2 linked regions of the Lonchura striata genome follow. The protein of the gene in region 2 binds, or shares a complex with, the protein of the main gene of each other region. Links are inferred from orthologs where the notes say so. Each region holds a gene or a part of one and is shown on either strand. Other genes may lie near its edges.

The links.
Region 1: the proteins of MYO5A (region 2) and MLPH are in contact, whole or in part, in a crystal structure (PDB 4KP3), measured with the Mus musculus proteins. The link is inferred for Lonchura striata from reciprocal best matches to the Homo sapiens genes MYO5A and MLPH. Residues at the interface, in NP_034994.2 of Mus musculus: Asp1524, Val1527, Arg1528, Leu1531, Thr1532, Ile1535, Asn1536, Lys1539, Ser1570, Gly1571, Leu1588, Thr1589, Asn1590, Phe1591, Asp1592, Leu1593, Ala1594, Glu1595, Tyr1596, Val1599; in NP_443748.2 of Mus musculus: Lys184, Lys186, Arg187, Leu188, Leu189, Ser190, Phe191, Arg192, Asp195, Phe196, Glu197.

The regions. Positions count from the first base shown.
Region 1 is NC_134610.1:38,435,766-38,443,958, reverse strand, and holds the start of MLPH (melanophilin), read right to left. Parts: upstream 3,347-8,193; 5' UTR 3,277-3,346; coding exon 3,044-3,276; intron 1-3,043. UniProt on the Homo sapiens protein: Rab effector protein involved in melanosome transport. Serves as link between melanosome-bound RAB27A and the motor protein MYO5A.
Region 2 is NC_134613.1:12,472,444-12,480,817, forward strand, and holds the start of MYO5A (unconventional myosin-Va), read left to right. Parts: upstream 1-5,201; 5' UTR 5,202-5,358; coding exon 5,359-5,385; intron 5,386-8,374. UniProt on the Homo sapiens protein: Processive actin-based motor that can move in large steps approximating the 36-nm pseudo-repeat of the actin filament. Can hydrolyze ATP in the presence of actin, which is essential for its function as a motor protein. Involved in melanosome transport.

The sequences.
Region 1 (8,193 bases), on a different chromosome or scaffold from region 2:
AGGTCTAGAGGCTGCTTCAGGATCACAGTGTGGACCACGAGGCACTGGTGATGCTCCCCGTGCCACACTGACGCCGGGGTGACCACAACAGGAGCCTGGCTGGCCCTGGGAGCAGTGGTGTGACTGGCAGTGGGAAGGGCAGGCATGTCAAGCAAGCCAATCTCTGTTTAACCTAATCAGTTTGCACATTAAGGCTCAGCTTTTCATTTATTTTTTTTCCAAGGAAGCATTTTCTGGCCAGCTGGCAGCCAACACACCGCCAGACACATTTTTTGGTGTCACTCCTCTTTGTGGTCACACAGGAGTGACACCCACTTGCATTTGCATCTGGGAGATGTAAAAACCAGCACAAAGACAGACCAGCACAAAGACAGAAAACTGGGCATCTGGTTTGTAAAATCCACCCTTCACTATCCTAGCAGTGATTTGGACAAACTGGTGCAAATGTCCCAGCAGTAAATTTAAGTGACTTCTGAAATGAAATCCTCAAATAGAAAACCCTTGGGTTGGACTCTGTACTCCTTTTCCACTCCCGTGCTAAGGCTGTTGCCAGCAGGATCCAATCTATTTTACTGGAACTGCTTTTTCTGGTTCCAAGAGACCGGTTGGATCCCTTCACCTCTCCTCCCTCACCCACCAGACCTGCCAAAGGAAGGAAGAGTCTCAGCCAAACCAGTTTAAAACCCGCAGGAACCGCATGCCTCTTGTCTCCTCTTGCTGGCAGGAGCAGCAGCCAGCCCCTTCCCTGCTCTGCTCACGTCAGGATGAATAAATCTGTGGTGTTGGGATGCCAGATGCAGCAGGATTGGACCCACAGAGCTCCAGGAGAGATGCAGGGAACCATCCCCCAAAAATGGGGTTGTGGGCATGGATGTTTCAGGAAAGAACCAGGGAGAGATCCCTCAAAATGGTCATTATTTAATTTTTTGGGCAAAGCATTGCCTTCACATGCCTGTGCCATCTGTGGCCAGCTTTGTCCCTTGTTTATGAATAGCTTCTGCCAAAAACAAAATACAGAGAAGCAGCAAAAAGGGAAGAAAAAGACCAAGCTGAGAAGGGGCTGGACAGGACATTTCTTCAAGGCTGGCAGGTTGAGACAAGCCCGGTGAATAGAAAAGTAAATGAATAGAAAAGTAAATGGGACTGGTCAGAGCACAGAGTGAATGGCTGCAGGGTCTCCGATAATGTCACATCATGTCCCAGCTTGTTACAGGCAGAAAATTCTTGTGTAGCTCCACGTCCAGCACTCAGGAATGTGGCAGACTTTCCCAGGCAGGTGGTCTGGTCTGTTGCAGAAATTATTCAGAAAGTACAGAAATTTATGTAGTTCCAAATGCTTAATGCCAGCCCCCTGCAGGGCACAATTAAAGAAGAAAATAAAAATAAGAAAACAGGGGAAATGGCTCTTAGGAGGAGAGAGAGCAGCTGGGTAGGAGCATCCCAAGACCTTCTCCCATCTTGCATCTCCCAGAGCATGGTATCCAATTTGGAAGCTTCCTGGGCATCAGAGAAGACCCAGATAAACCCAGTCTGGCGCCAAGGTCAAGTAAGGAAGGAATTCACCTCGCCCAATTCTTTGCTGCAGGGCACTGCAAAGTATGTCTCCACCTCCTCCCTCCAGGCTGAGCTTAGATGCATCACAAGGGAGACATTCACCCTTTGCAGGGTGATAATTTTTTAAAATACCCCTGTCTGATCTCCTTCCTGCTCTTCAGAGCTACCAGCAGAGGAAGGCAGTAGATGATGATATTGAATTATCTCTGCCTCCCACGCAGGCTGGCTTTTCTTAGGCAAAAAATAAAAAAAAAAAGTAATCAAGGCAATGAAAAATACACAACTGAGAGTTTCTTGTAGCCATTGGTGTAAATGAAGAGGGTCCCATGATTGAAAGGTTTTGGGGGATGCAGATATCCCAAACTGAGGATGGCTATCACTGCTCCCCCCTCCTTTCGGATCTGATAGAGGAACTAATGAGCTCCTGGTCTCCAGGCATTGGTATCAACACCAGCCCTGGCACATAAAATTCAGAGCTGGGAGGGTCTGAGGGCTCAGTGGGAGTGCAGCACAGCCCAAATCCAGTCTGAGAGCATGGACCATCCATTTGGATAATGATAACTTGGCCAGACCCTGAAGAGGATCACTGCAGCTTTTTGAAATATGTTAAGGCATTATTAAGTTCAGCATCTGATGAAGCTCATGAACAAAACCTGAAGCCCTGCGATTTCTCATGCTCAAAATTTAATCTGATCTGACAGAACATTTTTTAAACAGCACTTTCATCCAACACCCTGTTTATAAGGATTTAGAAGTTCATAGAATTTGCTGCTCCAGTGACTTTTCAATCTTTCCCCAATCTGTGGGCCCCTAAAATCTTTCCAGGACAGCACAGCCCCTGGTATTGCGTATTTAAGTCTACTAAAATAGCTTTACTAGTAGGTTTACTAGTAGTACTAGGTTTACTACTAAAGATTTGGAAATTCAGAGAATTTGCTGCCCCAGTGACTTCTCAGTCTTTCTCCAATCTGTGGGCCCCTAAAACCTTTCCAGGACAGCACAGCCCCTGGTATTGCGTATTTAAAGTTACTAAAATAGTTTTACTACTCCTCTCAGTTATTTTTTCAGGATTCCCAGAACCCACTGAACAACTCCTGCCCAAACCACACGAGACCCATCACATGAAGCAAAACCAAGGGAGCCAAATCCCATCCTCTGCTCCCGGGTGAAGCCTGCCCTTGAGAGCCCCACCAGCCTCAAGCCTCACAGAGGCATTTCCTGGTATTTGTCCCCATAAAGTGCGACGGTGTCACCGATCCGCGTCGCTGCCGGTGGCACGGCGCCAGTTTGCACCTTTGCTGGCCGAATGCGTCACCTCGCCGCTGATAACGTAATCAATCTATTAACCGTGTTTGACTTCCTCAGCCCGGTCTCCTGCCGTCCCTCCTCGCCCACAGCCTCAGCAGGTTGTTTTGTCCCTCCAGCCCACGGGGACCCGAGGTTTTGGCTGGCTTGCCCCCAGCTCAGGGACCGGAGAACAGATACTCACTCCAGCCGTTCCTCCTCTTTTTTCCGCAGATCAAAGTCCCGTTGAACGACTTCCCAAACATGCTTGGCTTCTTCATCGGTGAGCTTGGAGAGGTCCAGCTTCCTGCCCATCTCGTCGCGGCGAGACGTGAAGCCGATCCCGTTACTCGCGCTCCCCGAGCGCTCGCTGTCCCGTACCATGGGATGCTGCTGACGAAGGGGGAAGAGCTCAGCCCCACCTCCGCGGCTGCCCATATAACCGGGCAGGGGCAGAGCTGCGGGCAGGCCAGCCGGCTCCTGCCAGCACCGCAGCCGCTCTGCCGGGCGAGCCTGCCCGCGGAGCCGGCCGCCGAGCAGGGCTGGCACGGTGCCTATCGGCTGCGGGGACTCCTCGCCAGCCGGGAGGGCGGCCCTGCCTTCCCCCGGGGCGCTGCCCGCAGCTGCAGCCGCTCCGGACCTCGCCCGCCTGGCTGGGGCTACGGGAGATGTTTACTCTGCCTGCTTGATGCTGGGTGTGCGAATGAAAGGGAGCCTTCAGACGCCTCCCCGGGGAAGGCAGGCCACGGGCTTTGGGAGGGAGCGGAGCATCCCCGGGAGGAGCCGTGCCTGCACGCCCGGGAGGACCGGCTCCATCGCGGTGGCTCCTGCCCCACCGGGATGCTCCGCTCCCCAGCCCGCTCTTCTGTGTCTCATCTCATTACACAAATTTTGCCCCTAGCAGCAGTTTGTGAGGAAAACTTCAGCGCATCTGGCTTCCCCGCAATACCAGAGACTAGCGTCCTGTATTGCTCTCACAGCATTTTGGGCAGCTGAGCTTTGCTCGTGGCAAACAGCTTAATTAGGACGCAGCACTTCCCTCGTTTGCCGTGAGCAAGAAAAGACGGTTTGACAGGATTTTAAGAAAAGCGCTAAATACACCACATAAGCAAAGAGATATAAATTGTAATATATATCCGACTGCCGAGGCTGTTGTCTTGCTCAGTAAAACACTCCCTCTGTGTTCAAAGTAAACCCATTTCTCACTTTCGTGAGATCAAATATTGATGGTACTCTTTTTTTTTTTTTTTCTCTTCCCTGACATGAATGTAAACAGGGAGCAAGACAGCAAGACCAAAGAGGAAAACTTCTGCCTAGTGGGACTAAAATCCCTGCTGCCCACCCAGGGATACAGGGAATTATCCACCCTGGTAACTCACTTGAAACAGAGATTAGATTAAACTCCATGAATAGGGTCAGAAAAGTATTTTGAACCCGAATTAGGATGGATTTTGTGCAGGAAAAGTGATGACTACAGATGCAGTGTTTGAGCTTGGATATCGGGAATGCATGATCTTCTCTGGAAGCCAGAAATTGATTTCCAGCTCCTCGTCCAGCAGAGGTCCCGACAAAAGCAATCAGTTTATTGGCAGGAGCCAGATATCAGTCGGGCAGGTCCTTATGTAAGCGTGTTTGGGAGCCCTTGCGCCCCACTGCATCCGAACAGGGAGCGGTCAACAGCGATAATTAACATCACAACGAGCCCCTGTTCCAGGGCCTCCCGCTCCAATCACCCAGCACCTCTGACCGCCCTAGATCCCAACACATTCTCCTCCACAAGGATAAAGGGGTTGCGTTAAACCAGGAAGATGTGGCCTGCTATGCAATGAACATGGGAAAAAAATTGCGAGTGTTCAGCAGTGCCAATACCCCCTAAAAAGGGCTGGCTTAGCCAGAAAACCACCTCAAGGGAAATGTCCTGGGTGCACGAATAAATTCAAAGTATTCTGTTGGCAAACTATTGCCTGGGAACGGTTTCTGTAGGAAAACTCTCCTCCCTCGGCTCACTGATGTGTGTAACAGCAAAGACAGAAATGTTTTCTTTTTTTTTTTTCTTTTTTCCCCTCTTTCAAAGAAGTTTAGATTTTTAGCAGTTCAGACCCAGCTATCACCAGCTTCCAACAATTCTCTGCCTTAAGGAGGACAATTAAACCTGCTCACCCACAGCTCCCTCTCCCATCATAGAACCGTGAATAAAGGCTCACAGATCTTACAAACTCATAAAAAAAACCCCAAACAAACAAACAAACAAACAACCCCCAAAAAGGACCAGCACCAAACCACGCACCCAGAACCACTCAGACACTGAGACACTGTCACATGGAAGCCTTCAGAAAATATGTGGATGTGGCACTTGGGGACATGGTTAGTGGTGGAACTGGCAGTGTTAGGTTAATGGTTGGAGTCAGTCTTAGAAGACTTTTCCACCCTTTATGATTCCAAGTTGTAGGGCCAGATGACATTATAGGTCTGCCTAAGTCCACCAGCCTCTGCAGTGACCACACATGTGTGGGATGGAGATCAGGAGCAGGGATGGAAAGGAAAAGTTTTGTGTTTCCTATCAGCTGGAAGCTCAAATGGACCTTGATTCCACTTGAATCGGGAACCTGGTGGCAAAATGGGAGAGGGAAGTGTCATAAGCTAAGCCTCTCCTGGGAAACCAGGCATAGATGGATCCCAGGCTCCATTTCTGATATTGATTATGGCCACGGGAGGAAAAGAATGGATTTCTGGGGCATCTTTAAGAGAAATGCACTTCTAGCTGCAGGGCCACTCTTTTAAAAGTAACAGTCACATGAACTGTTATCTTTGCAGTTCTTGGTAATTATTTGTAAGACAACTGTGAACTGATATATGTATGGAACATGTGGCCTGGCCCCCCTCCAGCCATTCATTTCACAATGTTTTAACTGATAACTGGAAGTAAATCCATAATCAGAGTTCAACAAAACTGATGAGCGAAGATAATATCCAGCTGCTTCTAAAGACAGCAAACACCACCTCAGTAAGCCACCCAGCACTCCCACATCCTCATCTTCTTCCTGCTGAAGGGGCCAAACCAAGGGGCAAAACCCCAATAATTTCTCCAGTACCCAATTTTTCCAAACAGCTGCATTAAGTGCTGCAGAGGGCAGATGTGCCTACACGAGGTGCTGAAATGGTGATTTACAGTGGAGTCAGCTCCAGCTTTGTTTCTCACTCCATCAACACTGACAGGTGTTTTGGCTCCCCTCAACACGGGGTCATCCCAAATACCAAGCTAGAGGAGATTCCAAAAGCCAGATGGAGTCGAACCAGGAGCATCCACCAGCAGCTCCAGCCCATTTCAAAGCCGCAGGCAGAGGTCACAGGACCCTTATTCACAGGAGCATAACAAAACCAGGAGCTCCAACAGGCACGTTGCTGGAGTTTCCTGAGTGCCTCTGCCTCTCCCCCCATCCTTCCACGATCATCTCCAAGTCATGAGATATCCCTGGGATGGCATTCCTTCTCCCTTCAGTTTCTTGGCAGCTTTACAATGACATCTTATCAGCACCATCATAGTGGAGAAGAACAAGCAGGACAGGGAAGGAACGTACAATGCCACTGCTATTTCTGTATGTGACTCACGAGGGATTGCCATGGGTTTCATCCATTAATACAGCAATTAAATTATGCTATGGCATGACCACATCTCATTTGGAATGACCCCAACAGCCTCACTTAGAGAAAATAACCATTCAACTTTAATTATCACGGATAACGATGCTCTGACCTCTGTAGCAATTAGGAAACTATCACTGAGAACATGAAAACAAAGTTTGTGGAGTATCATTTGTGGGGTTGAAGATATAAGGACATTTTTCCCAACCAATGTGACCATTAGGGAGCCCTCTCAGTCCCAACAGCCATCACAGATCCCATAGCCCTTACAGATCTTCAAAAACCCCGTGAGCCTCACAGCACTGACAGCCCCCCAAAGCCCCCATACCCTACACAGACCCCAGAGCCCACATACCCCAAACAGACCTCAAAGCCCCCACAGCCCTCACATCCCTAACACAGCCCATAACCCTTAACAAACCCCATAGCTGTCATCCCTCATATAACAGATAGCCCTTACAGACCCTATAGCCTACACAGACCCTACAGGCCTTAGAGCTCCCAAAGCCCTCACAACCCCATAGGACCCATACCCAAATTATGGGAAAATGGGGTAATATCCCTCAATTTTAACCCTAAAAAGGTCAGGGACAACAGGGATTCCCTCTCAATTTAAACCTTAAAATGATTAAAATGGCAGGGGGGTGGGGGGGTGGGGTGTTGCCTTAAATTCAAAATAAACACATGACACAAAAAAGACCTTTCTTTTTCACTTAAACTGGAAAATGGGGATTCCTGGTCAATTAATTGATAGCCCAAAAAACACAGAAAGGGCAGGTTTTTGATCAATTGATAACTTTTAAATCACAGGTGAAGGGGTCTTAGTTTAAATACAAATAATAATAAAGGAGGGTTTTCCCTCAGTTTAAACTCCTTTTCCGCCCCAGCTCCCTGCCTTTGTTCTGGGATCAAAAGGATGCACTGGAGAGAAACTGGAGGCACTGGGATGCACTGGTGAGGGATGGAGAAGATGAAATAGAAAGGAGAAAGGAAAAGGATCTTCCCAGGGCCCCCAAATGCCGTCCTGCTCATCACCCTCACCAGCCACAGCTGGGACTGCCCCACCCCTCAGCACAAAGGGTGATGGTTTTAAACTGAAAGATAGAGGTCAATATAGACATAAACACCAGGAAAAGTTTTTACAATAAGGGCAGGGAGGCTCTGGCACAGGTTTCCCACAGCAGCTGTGGCTGCTCCATCCCTGGCAGTGTCCAAGGCCAGGCTGGACAGGGCTTGGAGCAACCTGGGACACTGGGAGGTGTCCCTGCTGGTAGCAGAGGAGTGGAATGAGATAAGATTTGAAGTCCCTTCCAACGCAATATATTATATAAAAACCCCATCGACTCCCATTGCAGAGGTCTCTGAGAGGAAGAAGTGGCTTTAAATCTGTTTGAGATCCCTCACCTGGGGCTGGGGGCGTGCTCTGGGACCCGGCCGGGGTCTGACGCCACTGATCCCTTCCCCTTCCAAGACCGACGAGTGTCTCCAGCGTGCCTTTTCTTTGGTTTTTTTTTGTTTGTTTGTTTGGTTTTTTTGGGTTTTTTTTTTTTTTTTTTTTTTTTCTTCATCTTTCCCTGTCGGTCCGGGTTGTCTCCTTTATTTATTTATTTTCCGCCAGCACGGGGAGTGCGGAGGGTCCGGCACGGCTCCTCCAGCCTTCCTTCCCTTCCAGCCGCCCCGCTCCGCTGCATTCCCAAGGCCTGGAGCGACACC
Region 2 (8,374 bases):
CTTTTGCAGACGTCTATTAGTTTTATGTTTTAAAAAGCAGATAATGTGCCAATCAAAGCACAAGTGATTCTGTATCTTTCAAAGTCTTGTCCTGAAACTGAGAGCCCAGAATCTCGCTACTGAAAATAAAAATAGTATACCTGAAATTTGTGAAACACATTTACACCTGACTCAACCTTATGCTTTTGCAGTTGTATATTTTGTTTCACAACAAAATCCAGCATTCAAGTATAAATTTGGAATTTGTACTTATATTTGCAGGCAAGTGCCCTTTCTGTTCAGCAGTTGTTTAAGCTTTTAAAGTAGAAATGCTCTGTCTGTTGGCATGGAATATGACTAAGTGTACAGTTCTGGAGAGTTCCCTGCGTGGCAAACACCAAATTTGGGCTCACCAATGCTTGATGCGCAATTGGCTATGGGCTATTTTAGATTTCTGGAAGCAGAAGGGTATCTTTTTTATTTTCTTGAACTCCTGAAGAGGCAGTAAATTATTTCCTTTTCTCTGTTGTACAGCAGCCCCTCATTGGCTTTGTGGAAATAAATATCTGGAAAGGTATTTCTGTAATGACTTACTGAGAAATAGGTAACTTTTCATATCAGAAAATAGGATTGAACTCCAGTTCATGCTTATGATGAAGGTTGTAAGTACTAGATAGACAAAATACATAGTTGGTATTAGGTGAACTGATGTACTTAAAACATCTGAGTTCAATGAAATCAGAATATTGAAAGTGGAATATGATCCACAATGTAATTGATTTTCATATAGGTAGTCACAGCCTTCACAGTCTTTGGGAGAACAAGAAACTAAAAAGATCAGTTTACAGAACACTTTTTCTTTAAAAAATAGTTTGGAAACAGCCTGTTAGCACCAATGTGAGTATCACAAGAGAAAACACTTAAAGATGCATGTTTTTAGAAGCTTGTACTTTGTGCTGAGATATTCAGAAAGGTCTTGGGGTATAAAGGACTGCTAGTCAATACCAGTGCTGGCCCATATCTTCTGCAATGCTCTCTTTGAGAAGCAAACAAAATGGTCAAGAGAAATTGAATAGTCTTTATTTGGTCCTGTTTTGATCAGAACATACAGTGTCTACGTAATGTTTTTGATTCAGAGAAGCAGTTCCAGAGAATTTCAAAATTGCTGACCTGATTATTTTCAAGTCTGTATAGCCCTGTTTTAGTAGTTAGATAGGCTTTGTCAAGCCTGTCCTTATTTCTTACCCTCCACTAGTATTAAAAATACTAGTATTTTGCAGAACAGTTTGAAGAAATGGACCTACTCGACTTCTTTAAAAACTTAGGCTGGAAGAATAACAAGGAAACTGGAAATATTGAAGCAAGCTGCTTTTCATAAATGTTTGTTCTAATGTGAAAAATCCTTCTTTATTTTTCTATGTATAGATGAAATTAAAACTTAATGATAGGATTGGGCCTGAAACAAATGTTGAACAGCTTAAGGTGACTTGCTGTGTATTGTCTGGTGCCACTATTCTGTAGCTCCCCTAAGGTGAGTTCTCTTGATGTTTGGGAAGGTTTAAAAAGATAGCCATTTAAATTTAAACATTCCACTCACTTAGCTACAACTCAGCTTGTCCTGCTGGTTGGACAACACAAGCTCTTCCAATGCTCACTCAGTGACTTGCAGTTCCTAAGATTACTACAGATTCAGCTATGAATATATTCTCCATGTGTATATTTGAAGTACTGTAATACTAACTATGTCAGTGACTGATTATGAGCCTTCACATCTGACAGACCTCAGCAGCAGGCACAGCTATTTTGATTCTGTACACTGTATAAAACTGAAGTCCAGTAGTCACTTAACAGTAAATGGAACATGACTGCAGATTGATGCTTACTTTCAGCTTACTCCAGCAAGATAACTCAGCTATCCAAACTGATGTACATAATGTATTATATGAGTTTTACCATTTGATAATTGCCTTTTTCAAAGAAAACCTGTCCACACTGTAGACTGGCAGTCCCTTTCATATCTTGCCTTTAAAGATAGACAGTGTTTAGTTGTTAGAGTAGTACTCATGTAGGCTTGTTATAGCAGATAGCACCAACATTTTATTTGAGATAGTTAAGTGGATTAATTACAACTTCACAGATATGTCCCCAAATCTGTAACACCAAAGGCTTCCCTCTCATTGTTCTTGATGTAGTAGGACAGTGTTTGTGTAAAGGCCACAGGAGTACATTTTGTTGGACATATTTACACCCAGTCAAGATGTTAAGGTGATAAAAGTGTCAATTGTTCTTTACAAACTTACACGTTGTATAGTATACAGAATAAATCGATTTACTTAGTTTTTATTGCACCATGGAGGTTTGTCTCATCTTTACTGTGGTTTCCTAAACAATACAGGATACTTCGGTATTCTCTGTGGAAAATTTCTAAACTCTAAATCTTGCTACTCTGTATCATTAAAAATATGACTGGGCTTTGGTTTCTAGTATGTTAGACTGCAGAATTACTTTAATGTAATCACATTTATATATATTTCAGTGCTTATTTTTCTATTAAGGCAATTAAAGCTTATTGTTTGAAAACTCCGTAACAGATGATTGTTTGGGTCCCTTGCACTGAATGAAGGGGATGTCTGGGAACCAGCTTGGTGCAAAGAAGTTTGCATTGCTTTAGACTGTTGGCCTAAATATGGCAACAATTCGAAAAACCACAATGCTGGAAAAAAGTCCCACTACTTTCCCAGTCAGCCCGAGGCTTGGTGCTGATCTGTGCACAGCTTCCAGATCCATGGGGTGTTATTTACACAGTTAGCTCAGTCCCCAAGGTTATGCAGCACCCTCTGTGCTCTGCATACTTGCATGCTACATGATTGTCTCTCTTCCTACATATCTCTTGTATTACATTTCAGAGTTCTTAACTGTTCCCTCAGTACTGGCTGGAACCAGACCTGTTTGTTTCCTACAGCTGAAATCCCCAGGCCTGGGCCTTGAGGTGTGAGAATATGGCCTTGGCAGAGAACTCTCTGCTCACTCATTGTACAGTGTGACAGCAGAATAGGAGGTCCTGTGTGAGAAGGGAATTTATCTGCCAGAGTTGAACAGGTCACAGATATGAACGGAACACAGATGTAAGAAAAAGGATAGGACAAATGCTTCTTAACTGCTGAAAAAAAATTGCATAAAAATTCAGTATAAAATTGTATGGGGGGACTGTGTCAGTTCCATCATTTATACATTGTTATCTGGAACACCTTGGGATCTATGCTCTGAAAAAAAAATGCCATCTTTTCAAAAAGATGTTGTGTGCAAGGTAAGAGGTGAGGTCTTTCAAAATCTTGCCAGCAAATATTTGATGCAAGAGATGCATCTTAAAGTAGTCGGTCTGGATACATTACAAACAGGTTGTTTCTTGGCAACTTTCAATGCCCTCAATTCCTGTCCTTAATGGCAGATTTGAAATCCTGGTTTATGCAAATTGTGTCAAATCATAGCATATTTTGGACTCATATCTATTTTTTGCTGTGGCTCATAATTACATTTGGCTCATGAGCTCCAGCTGTGAGTGACTGAGATCAGTAATCCACAGTCCAAGCAAACTCCTGAAATGAGTGTCTTAGAATTTAAGAATTTAGCATAAATATTGTGAGGAAAGGGTTCAAAAAATCCGATGTGAAGCATCACACCAAGAGGAGGTCCAGGTCCTTTCTGAAAACAAAACTGAAATTTCTGTTTGCAGTTCCAGCGTTGCACCTGAAAGATGACTGGCAGCTTTAGTACAGATCTCTCTGGTTTGCCTTGGCAGATGGATGAAGAGCAGCTGTGAAAACTGCTTAGCCAAAACCTCACCCCTGATCTGGACAGCAGCTCCCAGGAGCCCATTCTGGGCTTTTAGTAACACTGAGAGTGACTGTCCAGTTCTGCTGGAGTGAGCATCCTGGTTTGGGACAGCAACAGCAGTCATGGCTGATGAGCCTGGACGTTCTGACAGAACCTGGGAAGGAATATATTTTTAAATTCTGTTCACATTATTTTGAACTCTCCCAGCAAAATCAGGTGTTTCTACAAATCTCTATATGCTAACCTTAGTTTCCTAGCTGTGAAGGCCATACGTCTGCACCTAATCCAAACAATTTTGGGTAAGCTACGTTATTTTCATCTTGGCTATTTTCTGTTTGTGCTTGCTGCTTTCTCCATCTCCTTTTTAGATAGCAGCAGTAAAGTCCAGATAAGCATTTATTGGGAGTGTTTGTTTTGGGAGTCAGGGTAGTGTTTTCTCTCTGTTACTAAATTGATGAGTGATTTCTGACCCATTGCTTTCATGGTTCAGTTTCTCTGTAAACAGGTTTGTCTGTTTCTTTGGTAGTTGCGGGTTTCAGGGGCAGTGCAGATACTGCCCACTGAATACACAGCTGTTAGCTAAACAGCTGAATTCTGAGAGAGGATAGATAGTCAAAAGCAGTTTGGTGGAGAGTGTGGCAAACTTGCCTATGTTAAACTTGGTTTGTATTTTGGACTAGGAGTAGTAGGATGCATTTCCAAGGTGGAAAACAAAAACAGAGAAAGAGAGAATAGCTTCAGTTTTGCTGTCAAAAGAACTCTTGACATAACCTGAGCTGTACAAAACAGTCATAAACAAATCATAAAGGAGTCGGTTGTCATCTTGAGACCTTGCTGAAGCACGGACTATGCTTTTCATTCCCCTTTGTCATGGATGTTAAACTTCTCAACGATGTGTACCTCCATGTCTTGGTGAGAATGGGCTTAATTACGGAAGGAACTGGTTTGGGCCCATTTCCTTTCAGTGCCTTCAGTAACGGTTTGAATGACAAATACAATCAAGCTGTAAATAATTTGAAGGATGGGATTAGAATCGGTGCCCGTGAAAAGACGGGACTGGAGGGTTCCCTGCGCCTGGTGGTGCCCGCGGTGCGGAGCCTCCTCCGCGCCTCGAGCAGGGCACGGGCTGGGGACCAGAGAAGATCAGAACTATCCCTGATGACATAACGAGTAATTTGTTCAGTGTAGGAGAGAAAGAATAAAATGAATAATAATTTTAAAAAAGGATGGTAAGGGAGAGGAGGAATACCGGTTCTGGCATAGCGCGGGGGGCGCGCAGCCCACTGACGGCTCGCGCAGGGGTCCGGGAGCGGTCCCGCCCGCCGGTGGGAGGCAGCGCGCCGCCCGCCCGGCCCGGCCCGGCCCGGCCCGGCCCCGCCGCCGCTCCCACAATGCACAGAGCCCGCCAGGTAGCAGCAACATGGCGCGGGCCGCCGCCTGAGCATCCTCCTCCTCCTCCTCTCCTCCTCCTCCTCCACCCCCCGCCCGCCTCCGCCTCCCGCCGCCGGGCTGCCGCAGAGGGGCCGCCCGCCCGCGCCCTGCGCCATGGCAGCCTCCGAGCTCTACACGAAGGTAGGGCGGCGGCGGGGCCGGGCTGCGCGGGGCGGTGGGGCCGCGGGGCGGGCCGGGCGGGGGCCGGCGGGGCAGCGGGGGCTCGGCCGGGGCAGCGGGGGCTCTGTTCCGTGGGAGCAGCGGGAGCGCGGGCGCCGCTGCCCCGGCGGGGCCGCATCCCGGCGGGCGCGGGGCCGCTCCCGCCGCCGGCGAGCCCGGTGCCGGCGGCCCGGGCCCGCGGGAGCCGCCGCGCCGCCCCTCCCGCCCGGCTCCGCGCTCCGCGCTCCGGCGGCGCGGCCGGGATGCGCCGCGGCCGGGGCAGCGCGGTGCGGCGGCGCGGTTATCGCCTTCGGGCGCGCCGTCCCGCTCCTTGAGGAAAAACGGCTCCGAGGACATGAGCGCTCTGATATTCAGCTGCGCTTTTCGGTGACACTGCACCTTTGGATTATGTTCTTCTGGCAGTCGTTCAGAAGCCCTGCAGTCAGCAGCGATGCGCAGCGTGACTCTCATATGCTCTTTAATCAGACATTTTTCTAATCTTTTTAGTCTTGTGTGTTAGTATCTCATCAGCTTCTGCCTGGAAACAGTTACCGTCCTGTGCATCTTGATGGCAAAGCCTGCAACTTGAGATGTGGAAATGGTTATTTTCACTCCTAGCAATGCATTGTTTTCGTTGCTCCGCCTTGACCTGGTGCATAAATCTGAAAAAAAATGACAGAAAACAGGTCTTAAAGGGCAGAAGGGATGACAGAGGCCACTGGAATTGAGCAGGGCAGCACAACATGGCAAACTCCAAATACTACTTTCAAAAGGCTTGCACAGGCAAAGAGTGTTGGTAGGAAAGCCATGCCATCTGGATCCTTGAGCCACTTAGTTAAATGCTCCAGAATTATCCCCAGTCTAGCACTCTGCAAGGAAGGAAAGGAAACAGACTTTTTGTTTGGACATGGATAGGTCACCTTATTTGTAGAGCCCTCCCACTCAGGAGTGGTGGGACAGCAGTGACTGCATCAGGGCAAATCAAACCAGACAGTCCCTTCAACAGGGACTGCTTGCTCTGAGAGTGTATTTGTGTAGGAGAAATTGAATGTGAGAGGTGAGGTGCATGCCTGAACCCCCAAAAGATTAATTAAATACATGAATGATATGGCACACCTTGGTGTTTTGTATTTCATACAAGAATACCTCTTTGAACTATCCCAAAGGGATAAAATTTACCATTCTGGTCAAGAGAGTGGTGGTACTGCAGAGCTGTTTTCAGGCACCCCACAGACCTTCTCTGTGTAAGGAGTTATTTTAGAAATGTGGTTTTGATTCTTCCTCTCTGATGACGTTCTTCTTATGGAATTAAAATGTCTCATAAAGTGTGGATCAGACTACTTGCTTTTTTCCTTTTTTTTTTTTTTTTTTTTTTTTAATTCCCAACTTTATCTGACCTTGAATACTTTTCACTGAGTGGTTGATTCCTTTGGTCAGAAGCTGCTCCAAAAATGTGGGTGTGCTGTTGTCTTTGAACTGTGTTACAGCAGAAAACTCAAGGCCCCTTATAATTCCTGAGGAGGGCCTGGCTCAGAGTTGGGCAGGCCAGGGTAGGAAACCTGCTGGGTGCTCAAGGGAGACTCTGCTGGCTCTTTCCTCAAGTAATGGCAGCATGCTGCTTGAATAGCATTCACTAGATCATCCTTGATTAGGTAACGTAAATAATGGATTTAAGGTCAAACATGCTGAGGTAAAAAGAGCAAACGCAAAGTCAGACAAGTGCAGGGATGATCCTGCAGGAAGGACTGGCTGGGTGATGAAGGCCGGTGAGATTGTGTCTGTGCTTCTCTCACACCACAGGCTGTTCTTGTCCTCTTTAGAGACACATGTAGGCACAGAAAGAGTGAGTTTCACATCTTTTTTAACTGGTAAGCAGAGATTGTCATTCAGGGCAGCTGCTTAAAGTACCAGAGCTTCCAGTGTAGTGTCAGCTCTTAGCATATGGTGTTGGCATAGATACTTTGCTGGCAAGCAGGGTTGGGGATGAATTTTCAGCACATTGTTGCTGCTGTGTGCCCTGGAGCAAAGGCAGCTCTCCTACCCTCTCCCACTGGATGCCCCCATCCCAGCTTGCCTGTGTTTTTCAGGTGGCTGTGGTGGTGTGAGTGACTTGCAGCGAGGGTTGGTGAAGTTCTGTTAAAGACTGGATGAGCAGTGTTGCAAAGAAGTTGTTGGCATTTCTTCAGATGCTGTCTGAGATTGGCAGGACAGACTTCTTTCCAGCTGGGGGTGGTGGAAGTGGGGCTCTGCTGTATGCTCCAGTGTGTCCAGTTTGCTCGTAGGTTATCCCTTCAATATTGTAAACGCAGGCGAACCCAATGGGAAGAAATGATGATGTCTGACTCAATTCAGAAGGCTGAATTATTTCTTTATTATAACTATGCTAAAATAAATTAATATACTATATAAAAGGAGGATACTAAAACTACATACTACTTTCTCTGACTCTAACTCCCCCACAACTCGTGACCCTCTCTGAGAGTCCAGCCCCAGGTGGGTTGGATTGACCATCAGGCTCAAACAATCCTCACCAGAATCCAACTAAGCACTCACTCCAGGTAAACAATTCTCCAAACATATTTCACATAGGAAAAACAAGAAGCAGAAATAGAAATTGTTTTCTCCATTTCTCTCTGTGTACCTCTATGAAAAATCCTGAGAGGGAGAGAAATGTGCTTGCCACACTTCAAATTTGGGTTCTTTGCATATCAACATAAAGCTAGCATCCACTATCCCAACCATATATTGAAATAGCTGAAAGGAACTCTATTTTTCCAAGGTAATTTTTTTGTTAGAAACCAGCAATACAGACTTTTTTAAGAAGTCATGCCACTCCTGTGAAAACCCTATTGTTTTGATTCATCCAGATGTATTTCTAAATTTGGTGGCTATATAGCCAGCCTTGGAGTTGGACATGGTTGTAGTTAATCTAGAAAAATGGATTTAAGTTAAAGGACTCAAGTGCACTCAC